3 linked regions of the Neurospora crassa OR74A genome follow. The main gene of each other region encodes a partner of the protein of the gene in region 2 in a complex. Links are inferred from orthologs where the notes say so. Each region holds a gene or a part of one and is shown on either strand. Other genes may lie near its edges.

What was found. Proteins that work in one complex are often made in the same cells at the same time.
Region 1: NCU04171 (region 2) and NCU07549 share a complex: the UniProt entries of both Schizosaccharomyces pombe proteins name them as parts of the mitochondrial large ribosomal subunit. The link is inferred for Neurospora crassa OR74A from reciprocal best matches to the Schizosaccharomyces pombe genes mrpl7 and mrpl51.
Region 3: NCU04171 (region 2) and NCU17114 share a complex: the UniProt entries of both Schizosaccharomyces pombe proteins name them as parts of the mitochondrial large ribosomal subunit. The link is inferred for Neurospora crassa OR74A from reciprocal best matches to the Schizosaccharomyces pombe genes mrpl7 and mrpl39.

What each region holds. Positions count from the first base shown.
Region 1 is NC_026503.1:4,406,055-4,409,191, forward strand, and holds NCU07549 (mitochondrial 54S ribosomal protein MRPL51), read right to left. Parts: upstream 1,937-3,137; 5' UTR 1,756-1,936; coding exon 1,714-1,755; intron 1,630-1,713; coding exon 1,547-1,629; intron 1,245-1,546; coding exon 953-1,244; 3' UTR 501-952; downstream 1-500. Other genes in the region: NCU07550 (triosephosphate isomerase), read left to right, coding at 1-324, 388-416; NCU07548 (hypothetical protein), read left to right, coding at 2,436-2,697, 2,804-2,931, 3,018-3,123. UniProt on the Schizosaccharomyces pombe protein: Component of the mitochondrial ribosome (mitoribosome), a dedicated translation machinery responsible for the synthesis of mitochondrial genome-encoded proteins, including at least some of the essential transmembrane subunits of the mitochondrial respiratory chain.
Region 2 is NC_026505.1:5,079,365-5,083,128, reverse strand, and holds NCU04171 (mitochondrial 54S ribosomal protein YmL7/YmL5), read right to left. Parts: upstream 2,506-3,764; 5' UTR 2,231-2,505; coding exon 1,974-2,230; intron 1,838-1,973; coding exon 1,153-1,837; intron 950-1,152; coding exon 833-949; 3' UTR 501-832; downstream 1-500. Other genes in the region: NCU04172 (hsp70-like protein), read left to right, coding at 1-199; NCU04170 (hypothetical protein), read right to left, coding at 2,898-3,764. UniProt on the Schizosaccharomyces pombe protein: Component of the mitochondrial ribosome (mitoribosome), a dedicated translation machinery responsible for the synthesis of mitochondrial genome-encoded proteins, including at least some of the essential transmembrane subunits of the mitochondrial respiratory chain.
Region 3 is NC_026506.1:2,292,501-2,295,923, reverse strand, and holds NCU17114 (hypothetical protein), read right to left. Parts: upstream 2,030-3,423; 5' UTR 1,741-2,029; coding exon 1,728-1,740; intron 1,597-1,727; coding exon 1,480-1,596; intron 1,057-1,479; coding exon 1,007-1,056; 3' UTR 501-1,006; downstream 1-500. Other genes in the region: NCU03974 (hypothetical protein), read left to right, coding at 1-191; ala (alanine aminotransferase), read left to right, coding at 3,112-3,229. UniProt on the Schizosaccharomyces pombe protein: Component of the mitochondrial ribosome (mitoribosome), a dedicated translation machinery responsible for the synthesis of mitochondrial genome-encoded proteins, including at least some of the essential transmembrane subunits of the mitochondrial respiratory chain.

The DNA.
Region 1 (3,137 bases), on a different chromosome or scaffold from region 2:
ACACGCGCCAGGCCGGCGAGACCATCAAGTTCGTCGAGAACCAGCTCGCCGCTCTCGCCAAGGAGATCAACGACTGGAAGAACGTCGTTATCGCGTACGAGCCCATCTGGGCCATTGGCACCGGCCTCGTCGCCACCAAGGAGCAGGCCCAGGAGGTGCACGCCGCCATCCGCAGCTGGCTCAAGCAGAACGTCAGCGACAAGGTTGCTGAGGAGACCCGCATCCTCTACGGTGGCTCTGTCAACGCCAAGAACTGCAAGGACCTTGCCAAGGAGCAGGACATTGACGGTTTCCTTGTTGGCGGTGCCAGCTTGAAGCCCGAGTGTAAGTACTACCTGCCATTGTTGCAACGAGAGGAAGAAAGATGGCTAACATGATATGATGCAGTCGTGGACATCATCAACGCCAACCTGTAAATTACTTGCCCATAAAAAGTTATAGCTTTGCTACAGCCGCAATCATATAGGCTGGGAAATGGTGTTGAGGACACGGCGAAAATATAAAATAGTTAAATGTCCTGATTTTGTTCGATTTGGGATTGAAGAACGTAGTTTCGCTTCATGTAGCCCGTTCATGACTTCTGTGACACCAGATACCGCAACTCCGCGGCTCCTCCATTCGCTCTTAGATGTTCATCCCAAGTTCCAATATCAACAGTCAACCACCAAGCACCAGAAGATAATGTCAGATTCTTTGGAACTGGGGCAACTCATCATGGGAACTCGATAGCTCTGGAAGGACTTGATCACAACCATATAGCCAAACCGAAACCCTTGATACATCCAGAAACCCTTTTCATGTCCTCAATTCATATTCATACATTCAACATGGTATATACAATCCACCTGGTACTGAACCGAGCCAACACCGGCCGAGCACCAAATCCAGCCCAGCACCGATCCAGTCCATTCCAGCACCAGCACCAGCACCTGCTCCTCCCCCTTTTTCCGCTTTATACAGCCATACCCTGCCCATGGTAAGGCGACCAGACACCTCTGACACTGGGGTTCGTGCTGGTGACGGGCTTCTTGAACTTCTGGGGCTTCTCGCCGCTCGCGTCGCGGAGGAGCTCGGCCTTCTTGAGGATCTCGAGCGGCTCCATGTTGCGCACGCAAATGGCCTTGGTGCGCCCGTTGATGTAGTGGCCCATGAGGATCGGGTGCTTGGCGGGCCGGGGAGAGACGACGAACTCGATTTGCGGGTTGGCGGCGGCGAATTTGGGGAGGAGGGATTTGATGAAGCCGCTAGATGGAGGAAGAAGTAAGTGTTAGTGAAAGAGTCTGTCTGCTGAGGTCGCGAAGGGAGACTGGAGGGATAAGGAGGGACGAGGAGGGACGAGGAGGGACGAGGAGGGACGAGGAGGGACGAGAAAAAGGGTATGTAGTGGTGGATGGATGGATGGATGGATGGTCGGGGACGGCGGGATGGTCTCGAGATCTTGGGAGGATGTCGGTTTGGTTGGACGTGTAGAGGTATTGGTATATGTGAAAGATGTTCGATCGGGAATGAGGTTGCGATGTCCATATTCGAAGAATCCTAAACGTACTTCATGCCCCGGGAGCTGCCGGCCCAGTCACTGTAGTGGATGTCCAACTTCTTGCACTGCAAGACGAATGCGCCGACGCCATTCTAGATACAAAACAATCAACGATTAGCATTCTTTTTTTTCTGAAAATTAAAGTTTTTAGTTGCTCAGGCTGCGGTCTAACTTACACGGCCGGCAGAGGAGATCTGCGTCAATGCTTTTACCGTCATTGTTGTGATGCTCTTCTTCTTCTTCTTCTTCGCCGCCGTCCTCGCCTTGCAACAAGTCCGAGTCCACCAGGGTTCATGATCCGGAGGGCGGGTGCGACTTGAACTTCTGCCAGACTCCCGCCCCGTCGCGCGCCGGCACGGCACTGGGGGTGGGGGACCCGCCCAACTGCAAAAGCGGTTGGCAGAATCAATTTCACGCGATTGCACTCCTCCTTGGGTGTGTGCGTAGTGATAACGAAGACGACCTAAGGGTGCACGGTCCCTCTTTCGCACTCAGTCGTTCGGTGGTCGAGCGCGCGAGAAAGCTGCCCAGCAAGAGCTCCAGTCGCTGCGAGGCTGCCAGGCAGTGGACGACACAACACCAGACAGGGCCCTTTGCTGCTCCCGCCTCCCACCCTCTGTCTCTCGTCTTCAGCTGTCCAAGCAAAGTCGCGAAAATGCGGGTTTGACCTTTCTCGCAAACCGACAACACCACATTATCGCCATCACAAGAATTGGCAAACAGTAACAGCGTTCAGCCTTATTGAACTGTTCTCGCCCGGCTTTCCGAACAGTGGATCAAACGCCAGACGACCTACATTTCCTGGTTTCCGACATATCGATTTCATAATTCGACGACAGATAAGATCAACAAAAAAACACCACTTGACCAGCTACAACAGCGACAACGTGAAGCGACAATGACAGACCGGCTCCCGCCTAACCTCCTCGCACTCTTTGCGCCCCGGCCACCTCTGCGCTGGGTGCCGCCCTGCGATGTTGCTCCCGAAGAGCGCAAGTCGGCCTTCATCACCCCCGTTGCCGACTTCCTTCCTGCCATGCAGGCCTACGAGCAAGAATACGAGTACCATCCCACCGAGAGCTGGCTGGAGGCGCGCGACCGCAAGAAGCGCGAGAAGAAGGAAGCTTTGGAGAAGCTGTTGACCGAGGGTCCCAAGAATTGTACGCGGCAAACCCCCAACGTTACGCGCAGTTGTGCTCGCTACTCCTTTACTTGATCATGATCTTGCTGTCGTGCGGCTTGCTAACCGATGGCGTTTATCTGTAGACAACCCTAATGACGATCCCAACATCAGAGGAGATGCTTTCAAGACGTTGATAGTAGCGCGTCTTGACTACCGTGCTGATGAACAGGATCTCGAGCGCGAGTTTAGCCGCTACGGTCCTATCGAGCGTGTGAGTTTGCAAACCCCCCCTCCTCCTATATCATGATTTCACAGCTATGTGTGTGTTAATTGACAAGAACTGACACCAAAAAACAGATCCGTATCATCAGAGATACCCACGCCGATGAGAACCCAAACAAGAAGAAAAAGCCCCATCGTGGCTATGCTTTTGTCGTTTTCGAACGCGAAAAGGACATGAGAGGTAATGACCAGCCC
Region 2 (3,764 bases):
GAAGGTGAGGCGCAAGGCTACGTATGCGCTTAGCAGTGCGGTGAGGAATTATCAGCCGGCTATGGATGTCGCGGCGGACGAGATGCATAAGCGCGGTCATGAGGTTTTGGTGAACAACGGGACCAAGGTGGATGCGGCGGATATGGATAAAGTGGATGAGGTTATTGACGTTTTGAGAAACAAGGCCAAGTCTGCTTAGAGCTGTCTAAGGGGATGAGTAGGTTGAGGGTTTGGGGTTCATGATGGGGATGACCAAATGAAAGGAAAATGGGACTGAAAAGATATGGTTTTGGTTTTGGCATTGGAAAAGGCGTTTGGTTTTTTTTGTTTGGAGATCCTTGGTTGATCAAGACGAATGGGTTCTGTTGTCATAATATCTTGACCTGTTCTGTGCAAAGCTAGACTGGGATATGGATATGTGGTTCTAGACTTGGGAGTTGTTTATGAAGCAGATACCCTTGACGATGTCCGTTTACACAATCCAGTTCACGCAATGATGACACCCTTCCAATTGTTTTACGCATTTGTGATTCTACTTCTTTGATCTTTGACCGTCAGACCCGGTGGTATTGTTCTTCTTCCGTTTCCTTTCCACTTCGTCTATAAGCCTCCTCCTCGTGATGTTGTTACAAAAGGTATATATACACCCAACATACATCGTCCTTATGTGGTTAGTGTATTCGTATTGTACAAGTTTCACACATCTCCTCATCCTCCTCAATTGTCATCCAACAACTATCATGATGCGAGATGTTGTTCATCATCTTCTCATCCCCCTTCCTTGAATCTCGTCCCTTTCTCAACCTCTCACGATCAACAGCCCGTTTGGCGCTTAGTTGCTGTAGAAAGGAACGCCGAGGGACTGGAGCAGAAGCTTAGCCTGCCTGTCGGAGGTGGCTGTCGTCTTGATGGCGATGTGGCAACCGGGAATCATCTTGGCGGGGTACATCTGGAGAGGATAGAAAGTCAGTAATCTGTCGTCAAGTCCAAGAAAACAAGAAGACGAAGCAGACGGTAGGGCCAAAGCCGGAGCCAGAGCCGGAACCAGAACCCTCCCTACTGTAGCTTCGGCTCCGGCTCCAACTCCAAACTTTTGTTCTCCTCCGTCCTCTCTTTCTCTTCCACCCATCATTTCCCAAGAAACAAACTCACATCATAGTTGCATTCCACCTCGGGAAAAAGCTGAACATCCTCCGGATTCAAACCAAACTGCACATTACCGCTTCCATCACCCGTACTCGCCGGCACGCCCTTCCAATCCTTGATCCGGGGGAGAACCAAATGGATCAACCGATCCATAAACTCCCACGCCGCGTTTCCGTAAATCGTCGTCTTGCAACCAGCCGGTTTGTTCGCCTGCAGCTGCCACTGCACCACGTTGTTCTTGGACCTCGTCATCTCCGGCATCGTCCCCGTCATGGCCAGCAGCACCGCCCGGGCCACAATCAACAAGTCCGGGTTCTTGAGACCGAGCGGCACGAAGGTGGAGACGGTGATTTCCTTGATCTCGGGGATGTTGCGGAACGAAATGTCGCGCTCGCGAATGGGAAGCTCGGGGGCACCGCGGGGCGCGCGGCGGGCACGGTTGGCGAAGTAGGGCGAGTCGCCCTCCCAGGCACGCAAGCGCTCCGTGGGTTCCTTTTTGGGCGTTCCCGGGGGTGTGTGGATGTAGGCCAGGGTCATGAGGTCCGAGGCCATGACGGTGCGGAAGGTTTCCTTGAGACGAGGCATGTTGAAGGGGCCGGGAACGAAGTCGCGGGCGATAGGGTCGGAGGAGGGAGGGGATTGGATGGGGTGGAGGGGGCCGCGGTTGTACTTGGGGGGGTGGTATTGGTATCTGTTCGGTAGGAGGTGAGGCATGGTGGTTAGCAACGTTTAAACATCTTGTTTATGGTTTGCGTATATGTATGTATATATACATGTGTGTGGCTAGCTATGTAAACCACGGGACGGAGGGAGAGTGTATAACGCACCTGCTGCTAGGCAACCTCGCCTTCCTGTCGGCCGCGCGCTTCCATGGCCTGAACTCCTTCTTGTCCTCTTCGCTGGGGATGGGAGCGTCCAATGCCGACCGTGTCTCAAGCTCGGCGAGGTCGGGAATGTTGGATTTGGGAGTAGCGGCAGCAGCGCCGGCACCAGTTTGTGTCGAGGCGCATCTTCGGACGGCGAACTGAGCAGAGAAAGGCTGAAGAGCGCGAGCCGATCGCGAGACCCCGCGGAGACTGGCCATGGTGAATTAGGATACCGAAAAAAGAAACCGGCGTTCGGGCGGACGCTCTGGTTTCGGAATTGGCGACCGTGGAGGTTGTCGCTTCGGAGTGGTGGTTGAGGAAGAGGGTCCGGCGCACGCGGGAAATCGGGGCCGAAGGTCTGTCACGGACGGGCAGAGGGCAGCGAGGTTCCTTCTCCGGCAAGCGCAAGGTCCTGGTCCCGCGTCGAGGCTCGAAGAGGTGCCGGTCCCCGTTGTGCCGCCCGCCGGAATTTTTTTTGGAGCCTCTGCGGAGTCTCGAACCGGGGCCAATGCTTGGCAGCACGGGCCAAAGCTGGATGAGTTTGGGGTTAGGGATATGAGTCTGTTACCCCTGAAAGCGTTCCTGGACCCCTGAGAATGCATCTGATGTGGTTGATGAACTCTAAATAAAGCATGGATTTGGAAATATATCACTATGTTTGTACCAATATAAGCGATTCAGATCAGGATTCCAACACATTAAGACGACATGTATGATTAGATTAGGAGACACTTGTATATGCGTACGCTTCCTTTGCTCGAAGTATCCTCCGAGCCACTAATAATTACATCATTCCGCGCACACCTTATCAGCATGTCTAGCAATAACAACAAAGTATGTAACGGGGAAGAAAGAGAAAACAGAAAAAACATCCAAGTATCATCATCACCGTCCAAGACTACGTCCCCATCGCCTCTCAATATTCTTCCGCCCAGAGCCGCTTCTTCTCACTTGTCCCACACCCCCATCACCATCCCATTTCAACTCATAATCAGACTCCCCATCTTTGCCCAAATTGGGTAACTTCACCTTCACCATCCCCTCGTTTCTCCTTTCTATACTCCTCCTAGCAGGAGAAGTAGTCCCAGCCGGCTGAATACTGTAAAGCAACAACCTTGAGCCAGCACCGCAGAACTCCGTCTTATCACCGACGCAGAACGACCTCTTGCACTCATACAGCTCTGACGCCGCCACCGCCGTGTCCGCGAGCGAATTGCCGCAGTAACACTCCTTGCCGAACTCCACGCCAAAGAGACTGTAGCCCCTCGACTGACAGCGTTCGTGGCACATCTCGACCGTCATGCTCGTGCTGTTGGTGTACGAGTGAGCTTTGAGAATACGAGCCGTTGAGTTGTCGATGAAGCAACCCTGTGGCGTCGCCAAGCGCCCGTTAACCACGGACGGGTTGACGAGCCGGGGCGTCACGTAGTTAGTTTGTCTGAAGACGTCCAGACGAGCGCGGCCACCGCAGCGTGTTGATGGGTCACCGGCGCAGGTGAGATTACAGCCAGTCTGGCCGAGGCTGTAGCCGGGCTTGAACTCGAGACCACAGTAGCATTGGGATTGGAACTCGAGGCCGGCGAGGGGGTAGTTTTGCTGGGCGCAGTAGTTAAGACATTTTTGAATGGTCATGCCGGCGCTGTCGTATAGGTAGGTGCCATTGAGCGCGCGAGCAGTAGGCGCGGCGGTGTTGGAGTCACTGGCACATCCTTGGTAGTCCCAGTTCACAACAGCAGGAATTGTAGGCGAGGC
Region 3 (3,423 bases), on a different chromosome or scaffold from region 2:
TTGATCCTGCGGAAAACACCAACTCGGTCAGTCAAACGAACGGCGAGTCCCAATCACGGTCTCAGTCCCAGCCACTTTCGCGATACGGGGGCGCCAATGATGAGACCCAAGACTCCATGACCCTCTCGCAGAATGCAAACAAAGAAGACGGAGATGACTTGCCTCTGCCTCCGCCTGGGAATAAGTTATGATCCATATGTCGATGCATGGCGTATTTGTGTGGATTGGAGACTGTGTTTCGAATGAATTGAGATTCAATATGTATACGACGAGAAGAGTGTGAAAGAACGCCTGTAAAATGTTGGGAGACGGGTCTTGTGACTAATGAAAAGTTTGATTTCCACGAAAATATAGAAAGATGAGATAAAGCGATGTACGATGGCAAGAAAAGTCAAAGATGTCGAGGTGTCATGACAGACTGTCTGATCGCGATAGAAGAGTTATCCTTACCACACAACACAAGAGAAGGGAGAGCCACTTGGCAGTGAACCTGGGTCACGCCCAGCATTGCCGACGGCCGAGGGGCGTTGTGCTTATCTCTTGACTTGTACATTCTCTAATCAACCTGGCCCATCGGTAGAGCGAAGAAGCAACAAACGCTCCATGGTGCCAATCCATAACTCACAGGGTGATGTTATATACTGATGGATCGGTGGTACAGTAATAATACACGACCAGAGACTGGATGGAACGAGGGACCCCATCTTATTCTTGCGCCTCTCTTCTCCATATATCCAGTCCAGTTCCGGTCCGGTCCACCCCCCTCTCCAGCTCCAGCTCCAACTCACTCGCCAGCACTGGCCATTGTCTGCTGGTGATCTGCTTGAAACACAACCCGGTCGAAATCGTAACTTGGTGTGACGTGGTAATCCGTGGAGGGGGTGCTGTAGCTTTTTACTTGTCGCTGCTTCGCCGCTACGCTCTTTGATTCCGTATCGCAGGCTCCGCGTTCTCGCTCTGGCTCTCGGTCGTTCGACGGTCGTTAGGCCCGGGGGCGAGTAACGATCTATGACCTGCCCTTGCGTTTCTGTTCGAGGAAGAGGACCTTGCGGCGAACTATGGTGGAGAGGCGAAAGGGTTAGTAGGTATTCCTTCCTCTTCGAGATCCGTGATTGGGAAAAATTGTCTGTCGTAGGCAAGTGTTTCTTCCGTCCCCTCCTCTCTTCTCTGTTGGCCGGTTGGTTGGCTGGTTGCTTTTTTTTTTTTCTTTTCTCGAAGGTCCGTACGTTATGCCATCGTCCGAGTCTTTGAACTGTTGCGTCCCAGCCTGATCCCAGTCCTAGTCCCAGTCCCAAGCGAGCTTCCCAAGGTCCGTTCGACGAAGCGTATTGGGGTGTTTCGAATCGTGCAAATCGAGAAAGCCCGCAACCAAAAAGAGTTCCATATCATGCCCGTGTCGTCGTGTCCGCCGAATCAATCATGTAGGTGGTTGGAAGCGAAAGAGGTAGATAGGAATGAGGGGAGAGGATATGCGCATACCGATCGGATCGTATTTCAGCATGCTCATAGGCAGCGAGGTACGGGGACGGGTGAAGGTGTAGAAATAACCCGTCATGGCCATTGAGATCAGGCGCACGTTAATGATGCGGGACTTGGCTGTTTGTTGTTTACCTATCAGCAACTATCGTCTTCTGTTTTCGGTTTCCGGTTTCCCCATTGCATCGCTTTTCCCTTTAGGAAAACAAAGCAGTAATTGCAGACACACGGGTGAGGATGGAGTCGATTACCCTTCTTCGCCATGTTGAACGACTTTTGTTGCGCTGTTGTGGTGTGCAACGGCGCGCCTGGACTGGACTGGATCAAGTGCGGTACGGCGACGGGCGACGGGCTGGGGCTCGTCCGGACGGAGAGGTTCGCAAACTGCGGGCGGAGGGCGGGCGGATTCACGGAGCACGGTCTTTGCGCCGGAAGCTCTCCAATCGACGTCGGGTCGTCCGCGCTTCTTGCGATTGCGATTGTAGATTTTGCCTGCCGGCCCGCCGGGGGTGCGTGGGCCGTGGTGGGGCTGTGGGTGGGTCGTGTGCGCTCCTAGCTGGGCTTGGCAGGTGGCTGCCCGCGGTTTAGTGTACTTGTAGGATCGGTGAAGGCAAGGTGAGGAACAAGCTGAGTGTAGTGAGCTGAGAGCTCACCGAGGAACCCCAGAGGCCTTGGCCAAAACACAACGGGCGTGATATCTATCAGAACATCTCACACAAATTTATTGACAACATCAACACCTTTGCTGGGCTTGTACACTGAGAGAGATGTATTCAAGAACATAAATTTGATATTTGTGTACCGTAATTTCAACATGGTGACCGTTGACAGCACTGTGGCTGTAATCATGCCCGTCCCGCCAACAAGGCGCTGGAAGGGAACTGTGTAAGTCGACGAAAAGGATAGTTCCTGGATACTAGATATAGTCCACTGGTCCTACACATGCCGCAGCTACCTCTAGAGGTAGAATACAACGGCCCGGATTTAACGTTGGCTTGTCAGGCAGCACAGCACAGCAGCAGCTTATCTTGGCGGCTACGAAACAGCTCAGCGATACCGCCTCGTCTGGCGGATAGCAGTCCGAATCAGAATATGGCATTTGTTTGATTGACTCTCCATACTGTACCAAGACTGTAGTCTCGATTCGGACCTCTGCGACCCCGCCAGAAATGGATCGCGGGAGCAAAACCGGACCGGAACGAAGACTCTTTTGTAACAAAAAGTTCTAGACCACACCGCTTTCCGTGCTCCTGTTTCGGAGCTCATTAGTTCAGTTTGGGTTGCTACATTTGATGAAAAAAAGAAAAAAAAAAAAAAGTTCGTGTGTTCTTCTGCGTGCTATCTTTCCCCCCCCCCCCCCCCCCCCCCATTCATAGTGTCTTTGCGTCTGCTGTGTCGAATGCGGTTTGAAAACCCAACCCAACTGACATAAACTGGACTCAGCCCTAAATCACATCCCGTCCTCTCGGTACTCTCGGAGCGAGTCAGCGCACCATCAACGACAAGTTCTTCTCCCGTTCACCTTTGACGGCATCTCCGGGAGTCCTGTCCCCCCCCACCCGGCAGTATCGAGACCCTCCTCCCCTCATCCATCAATACGTACACTTCATCAGAAAGAGATCGACAATCGCATCGATGGCTGCCGGACTGTCAAACGCCCTCAAGACCGCCCGTCACCGGCTGCCGAGCGCGGCCGTGAGAAATTATTCAATCCCTGTTCAGCAGTCGGCGTGGGGTCCGGCGACATGCGGAGGTAAGGATCACCAAACCCTTGCCATTCGCCAAAGCGGCGCGAGTTTCTCGTCCGACCGACGCGGATCGATGTGCTTTATTGCGTCGCTTTCACCTTCCCGAACGTACCGTTGCTTCCTCTTGTCCCGAACTTCCCCAACTTTCTTTCCCCGCGTTTGCAACTCTCTCCGTTGCAACGGTCTTGGCACCTGCTTA